Ovis aries: one gene and its partner. The protein of the gene in region 2 interacts with the protein of the main gene of each other region in a pairwise test. Links are inferred from orthologs where the notes say so. Each region holds a gene or a part of one and is shown on either strand. Other genes may lie near its edges. The genes, in order: SCOC and FEZ2.

What was found.
Region 1: the proteins of FEZ2 (region 2) and SCOC interact in binary tests that used the Homo sapiens proteins (3 or more experiments, as listed by UniProt). The link is inferred for Ovis aries from reciprocal best matches to the Homo sapiens genes FEZ2 and SCOC.

The regions. Positions count from the first base shown.
Region 1 is NC_056070.1:17,420,758-17,425,026, forward strand, and holds the start of SCOC (short coiled-coil protein), read right to left. Parts: upstream 2,886-4,269; 5' UTR 1-2,885. UniProt on the Homo sapiens protein: Positive regulator of amino acid starvation-induced autophagy.
Region 2 is NC_056056.1:87,440,545-87,444,368, reverse strand, and holds part of FEZ2 (fasciculation and elongation protein zeta-2), read right to left. Parts: intron 1,805-3,824; coding exon 1,696-1,804; intron 1-1,695. UniProt on the Homo sapiens protein: Involved in axonal outgrowth and fasciculation.

The DNA of each region.
Region 1 (4,269 bases), on a different chromosome or scaffold from region 2:
AAATGGACAAATCCCTGAAAGAAAAAAAAAAGCTCACTCAACAAGAACAGAAGATATGAATAGTTCTCTGTCTATATTTTAAAATTTATCTGTATTTTGAAATGTAATTACCAGGTTAATCTTCCCACAAAAGATACTATATATTCAGATGATGTCACTGGTAAATTCTTCTAGTTATTTTCAGAAATTTCATCAATTCTTCATAAACTCTTCCAGAAAATAAAATAAGAAAGAACACTTCCTAACTCATTTTATGAGAACAGCATAACTCTGATATCAAAAGTAGATGAAGACGTTAAAAAATATAAAACTGAACATAGACATGAAGTCCTCAACATATTACTAGAAAATCAAATCCATCAGTTGTCCCTAGACAGGGAGCCTGGGCAATTGTGATGCTGGCTCCATGAGTTTCATTTCTCTCCGTAATCATGTTCTAAAGCTGATTCTAAAATTCATATGGAAATACAAAGAATCTACAATAGCCAAAACAGTTCTGAAAGAACAAAGAAAGAGAATCTCAACCCCTACTTACATCGTACACAAAACTGTAAATTCAAAATGGATCATAGACAGAAACAGAGATAAATAACTTCTAGAAGACAGAGAAGAAAATCTTTGTCTCCTAGGTGTCAGCAAATTTTTTGAGAAAGGTCACAAAAACAATAATAAAATAGAAAAGATTAATTGAACTTTATAAGAATTAAAACTCCATGTTCTTTGAAAGGTATCATTTAGGAAATGAAAAGACAATAACAATACATTATCTAACAAAGGTCTTGAATTTGGAATTTCTAAGAACCTTTTAAGTCAATAATAGAGAAACTCCCAATGAAATAATGAAATACTTGCATGTGTGTGTTAGTTGCTCAGTTGTGTCCGACGCTTTGTAACCCCATGGACTGTAGCCCACCAGGCTCCTTTATCCATGGAATTCTCCAGGCAAGAATACAGGAATGGGTTGCCATTCCCTTCTCAGGGGATCTTCCCAACCCAGGGATCAAACCTGGGTCTCTTGCATTGCAAGAAGATTCTTTACCATCTGAGCCACCTGGGAAGCTGCATTGCAGGCAGATTCTTTACCACTGAGCCACTAGGGTAGCCCAATGGAATAAAAAGGAACAAACTGTTAATATGGATGAACCTGAACTATATTGTGCTGAGTGAGAATAGCCTGGTGGAAAACATATAGACTGCATGATTTTGTTACTATAGAGTCTAGAAGAGACAAAACTTTGCTGTGTAGAACAGATCAGTGGTTGCCTCGGGTTGATAATGGGTAGAGGGTTGACTGAGAAGGGGCTGGTGGGAGCTTTCTGCTGTAATGGAAATGTTCTATAATATCTTGATTGGGATGGTGGTTACACAGTGTATACAATTCCCAAAAGGTATCTTCTGTAATTTAAAATGTATATATTTGATTATATATTACTTTTCCTCACCAAAGCTGATTTCTTTCTTTAATGAGAATACTAGCCAGGTTTCTTTAAGGTTTGCAGTATGCTTGGTATGCTACATGTGATATTTTACTCAGTCGTCAATCCAGTGATCTAGGGATTACCAACCCCATTTTACAGACGAGGAAATCAAAGTCAAAGAGTGTCTTGTCCAATATCACACAGCTAGTAATAGACTGAATTAAAACCTATCTTTTTACCTGGAAAAAGAGTATCATAATACGTACTCTATTGAATTATTAAGATTGCTAGAACTAAGTAAAAATAAAGCACTGCCAAGACTTTCCAAATTGAACTGACATTGGAACCACAGCCCAAAGGATGTGGTTTGGAACTTACATCTTCAACCTAACCAACTCAAATTCCTACCAAAACAAAAATATCAGCATTCTCCTTGGTACTTAAACAAGACCCAAGGTCTCATAATGTTATAGACAAAATGTCCAAGATCCAGTCTGCAGTTATTCAGCTTATGAAGAACCATGAAAATCTCACTTTATGTGAAAATAACACAGCAACTCTGAGATGGCACAAATGTTGAAGTTGTCTTGAAAAGATTTTAGGCAGCTATTTGAAAATACTTGAACAATTATGAAAACTCCTGAAACAAAAGTTATAATCTAAAGTATAAGCAACATAATAAAAGCTATAAATAAGACCCAAATGGAAACTGTATAACTGAAAAATAAAATAACTGAAATTTAAAACTATCTCCAAAGATCCAGTGGCAGGATGGACATGAAGGAGAGAAGAATGAACTGGAGGGTACCTCAGTAGAAATTATCCAGCCTTCAAACAGGGAGAAAAATGGTTGAAAAAAAAATAACAAACTCAGAACACAAGGATGACAAAAAAGACCTGGCATTTGTGTCATCAGAATCATAGAAGGAAAGGAAAAAGAATGTGGTACTGAAAAATAGTTGAAGACATATTGGCTTTACAAGTTTGGCAAAAGACAGTTTCCCAGGAGGAAGGGATGACTAGGAAAATAATGTCTAAAAGGCTTTGGGGGTGAGGCACAGTGAAAAAGACTGTTGAGAAACACTGATCTTGTCACTGGGCACCAGTATCATTAACAATACACAGAGAACCTGCCAGATAACATTTACTTTCGTGGTGAAGAAGACTGCATCACCAATGAAATAGTCTCACAAAAAAATTTTTTTTAATGCAACCTGACCTGATCAAGCCCATACCTAGCAATTTAACAGGAAATACAGAGAACAGAGAAATGTGTTAAATCTACTGTCTGGGTAAACATCGAAATCTGATAGTGGAACAAAACAGCAACAAGTCAAGAACAAATAACATGAAAATAAAAGTCCTTTTGTTTAACAAATAAATTGCATTGGAAGAAAAAAGAATGGAGAGAAGACTTGTAGATAAGAAGACACTTAAACTACATTTTAAAAAACAGACCAAAAAAAAAAAAAGCCCCTATGGTTTATTTTGGATACACCCTTGGAAGATAAAACTATTTTTAAAATGAAGGAAAATGATTACCAATAAGTAGGATATGGTAATTCTAGAGCATTCACCTTTTTAAAAATTTCAGTATCAAACATGTATCTTGCTAGAGAATTTGAACTTAGAGGAAATCTTCAGACAAATTATCTGAAGAAGATAGCATACAAAAAGGTAACCATAATGTCGTCACAAGCAACATGTCATTCACAAAAGATTGCAAACTGGCTAAAACAATGTTGCTGATAATTAAGATGTGTCCTTGAAAGAACAGGAAAAGAATCTTGAAATGGCAAAAAGTGACCAAAAGGAACAGTACATCCAAGTGAATATAAAAAGGGTATAGAAACCTTGGCAAACTTTATATGAAGTGAACTTTTGTTGTATTGTTTCCTTTGCATTACATTTTTCAGTTAAAAAATTGTTTAAAAATAGCCACAAAATTCTCTTCTGAATAAGGAAAACATTCAATAGGGACCACTGAAATTGCACAGAAATAACTGATCATAAGATGACCATTCATGTGATCTGGAATGTGCATGTATTATAAACTACATAAGTAAAAGCATAAATTAAAATATTCTTCATAGAGAATGGGGAACTCTAAATTGGAAACTATCATTTATTATTACAAGGCAAAGTATTGTGTAAGGAAGAAATGATAAATAATAAAATAGAGAAACTTCCAAGTTCATTTTGATGTTCTAGTCTGACATACTCTCATCAAGCTCATAAAAACTTTGAACTTGTTTTTAGTAATTAGAGGGTTCTAAACATACTGTGGATATTTTAAAGTGAAATATGCTAAATGGAACATTTTGATAACTTTCAAGTGTAACCAGGTGTGTTCCTCATACTTTACACTCATTAATTTGCAAAATGTGTTTGATCTCATTCCTAAAAAAGAACTCACATTTTCCTTTATACTTATTTTTTTCCGTTGTAAGGTTATTAAATTCATTGGAGAATGAGTGTTGAACTGAATTTGGTGAGTAAAGAAAATATTCTGCTTGTTGAAACTTGATTTCAAGACTAGACTTAATAGTATGCTATACTGCTATTTGGTAAATTGTTTTCATATACTTTTCTGAAGATTATAATTTCCTAATAATAACTGATAGTTGGCTAATTTGAAGAGAATCATTTCATTCAGTTGTTTAATAGAGAAAAATGTAAGAAATTACCAGTGTGTTTTTAGTGTTTTTCAAATGAAAGTTCAGAATTTTAGGGTCTCCATGGAATCAAGATTTGAACTTATCAACAAAAATGAAAATAGTAAGGAATGAGTCTATGCAGTCTTGATGCTTATTTTTCTCTAGACTCTCTAATCATTGTTTCCCAAAGATTG
Region 2 (3,824 bases):
ACAAACATAATTAAGAAACACTAATGATGATTTAAGACACAGATCAAGTGCCGTGAGGACCAGCACCCAAGAGACTTGGGGGCCAAACTCTGTGGGACATGTAAGTCCTTTACGATTTTCACACCCTGACAAGTGTGACCGATTCCCACAGAGAGGAGAGCATTTTCCTTCCTTGCTGGGATTTAGTCTGTGGCTGAATGACCATCTGTCAGAGATGCTGTAAACAGGGATTCCCCCCAAGTGAGAGGTTGGATTAAGTGTCCTTTAAAGTCCCTTCCAACTCTAAAATTATATAATTCCATGAGATCAGCAAAGGCTAAAACAGTAATAGGGAGCTTCAGAGAGGAAGGGAAACTTGAACTAAGCCCAGAATGATAGCTAAGATCCAAATAAACAGAAGACAGAGGATAAGATATTTTGCTTTATTCCTGCCCCTAAATGTATGTCAGGTCAGCCTGCAAAACAGCTTAAGGAGATTAATAACTGGAACAAATAAATCCTGTATGTACTAGAATACAAAGAAATATAGTCAGAATCCTATATTTTACTAGAAATATAGGATTTCTAGGCGGCAAGCTTTTCTGAATCACACTTTTAAGAACATCGTTTCAGAAAACATTAATAGCACTATTTAAAATACAATCCTACTGCATTATACTCTCCGAAATTACACAAATACACTTAATGAAATATAGAGCATGCCAAAAGAGCTGGCATGAGTTAACACTGCTATTTGATGAAGAATTTAAATAGTCCGGCCCTGAAACTTCCATTTGGCCTCCTTTTTCGTCAGCGTTAAACCACACTGTGATTTTCCACTTAAAGCAATTCCCTTCCCTTTTCTGTCCCCTTTGCTATCCTTCCACCTGTGCTCACACTCCTTACCCAAGGTGTCTCCACTTTACAATTCCAAGACATACATGCTGCTGCTGCTGCTAAGTCACTTCAGTCGTGTCCAACTCTGTGTGACCCCATAGAGGGTACCCCACCAGGCTCCCCAGGCCCTGGGATTCTCCAGGCAAGAACACTGGAGTGGGTTGCCATTTCCTTCTCCAATGCATGAAAGTAAAAAGTGAAAGTGAAGTCGCTCAGTTATGCCTGACTCTTCGTGACCCCATGGACTGCAGCCCACCAGGCTCCTCCATCCATGGGATGTTCCAGGCAAGAGTACTGGAGTGGGGTGCCATCGCCTTCTCCACAAGACATACACAGAAGCCTCCAATGGTTAGCCAAGAACACATCAAAAAGCCAAGACTTGAAATGTCTTTTAAAGGTTCTCCAATATTCAAACATGTTACATCCAGCATTAAATTCATCAGAAAGTTAACTCTCTGTAGACACTCCAGAATCCTCCATATATTAAATCAAAGCCTAAGGTTCTTACCGAGTATTGTCAATGTATCAAAGTTATGTTATTTAAGCTAGAAAAAAATGCTGATCATTGCTGTTCATACACAGGTGATGAAAATTTACCTAAACATAAAAAAGGTGAGTGTGTGCTAGGGAAGAACTGGAGGGAAATGTCAGCAAGTGGACAGTAGCAAAAACCAAGATGGCAAAAGAAGACCACTTCACTTGCCATAAGCTTGGAAATAAGAAGCAACTCAATGAATTGTGGTTAGAGAGAAACACTACTTTTTAGTTCCATTATCAGAATCGGTTATTCAGAAACTATTGGTGCAAATCCTAACTTACCCCTTTTTCTGAGAGATTCAGAGTAAGCAAATGCAAGGTCCTAGTATGGGATGACTTCCAGTCTACAGGCATTACATTTCCGTAATTATCTGTCAGGGCATTCCAAATCCTTAAAAAAAAAAAAAAACTACAATCAATGAAAGTTAACATTCTGTCTATCATTATTAAACAGATATCTAGTACTACAGTGAAAGAGAGAACAAAAACTATCACAGCAAAAAAAAAAAAAATAGAAGGCCTACTCTTTCTCAGAAAAGCATCAACAAACCAGAGCCTCCTGAATAAGATTAAAGGAAAGCCCAACCACTGGGCTGACAAGTCCTGAGGGAAGAAGACATGGAACAGAAAGCTCACCAAGTCAACGGCTAACATTTCCACTGTCTTGTGAGCCAGGTATTACCTAAACTGTTTACATACATTCTAAGCAATTTACTTACATTGGCTCACTTAATCCTCAAAAAGAATACCATGAAGAACCATTATCATCCCCATTTTACAGATTAGGAAACTAAAGCACAGGAAAGTTATGTCGTGTTTCCCAAGCCAAAACAGGTAGTAAATACACTGTGCTTTATAATTATTTTTCTTTTGTAACTTCCAAACATATAGACTATTCCACAGAGTGAATAATCTCTCTTTAACCAATGAGAAAGAATTTCCAGGAGAAGGAATTCAGCCTCAATACGAGACTAGGGCTTAATATCTAATTTATAGTGTAAGGCTAAGATAAGATGAAAAGGGAAAGAAAGGGAGTTCACAATAAAATACACAGATTATACCCAATGCAATTACTCTTCCTTATTAACAAACAGAATTTTGAGGAGGCAACAGAGTAAAATGAAAAGAGCACCTGACTAAATTCAGAAAACAGACTCTCATCTCCATTCATCCTCAGCCTCTGATCATGCACTGTAACTTCTGCAGGCATTAGCTGCTCTTTCTAAAACAAGAAGCTTGGATAAGGATGGCTGATGTTTCTTCCAGCTCTAACTCGAAGCATTCATTCAAATTAGTTATATTGATGAAAGTTCCAAACCATACCAAAATAAGGACTGAAAACCAATTTCATGACCAAAATTCAGTTTCAATCCCAAAGTAATAACCAGCGTTTTTTTTAAAGGCATTATATGAAAAAAAGAGTTCAGAAATATAAATGAAATTAAATTTAATTAGTCTAAGTAAAGTTAAACACTACACAAATAAGCTATTTAATGGTCAGAGATACACACATACAATTAATAAATTTAAAAAAGCTAACATTTTTAACAAGTATCTAATCGTGAATAAGCCACTAAAAAAATTGGGTGGGTTTTTTCCTAAGTGTGTAAGATACTAGGATACAAAAATAAGACCACTGGAATTATAAAACTAAGAATGCAAGCTTCAAAACAGAGAAACAACACACTGATTTAATGAACTGGAATTTGGTTAAAAGAGAAGCAATGGGACCACAACTGCCAAAAACAGACAATCCCCAAATGACACTTGGCTGTTGAATGCATATTAGCCTCCATGAACATGTGAACACAAAAAGCTCGAGAAAACTGGCTCATTTACCCAGCAAATCTCTCATATGCATGGTTCATTCCTATCCTCCTCTCTGCTGGAATCCTCATTTCCTCTAATGTCAATATGCTCAAATTGGAAATACTCTGGGTTGCTAAACTTGCTGGCCCACCTCTTCCTGGGTAGAAGATCTTCCAATACTAAATGACTGACCATACACCTAACCCTGGTCAGGAACCACTAGGATATTCTAGTAGGTGAAGACAGTCCAGAGATTTTGAGGTTCGTTTTGTCTGCTGTTTGTTCCTTCTTAATTGAGGCCGTAATAAAAGGACAAGTGGAGCGGAAGATTTTATGTAGAATAATTGACTGTGGGTGAATTTGATCTCCCAAGAAAATGAAGGACAAGTCACAGTCCTCTATCTTCACCAAGGCCAGAACATTTGTGGCTGAAAGGACACAAGGCCGGATTAACTGAAAGACTTCTAGAATACTCCAATCAAGATAGGAACTGCCTTCATCCGATCATAAAGCATTACGGCCAATCATAAACAACTAGCAGGGCGGCTCTTTTCCAAAGGAGGTCAAAGTCTCACTGACATTCAATCCCTCACTAGACCCTT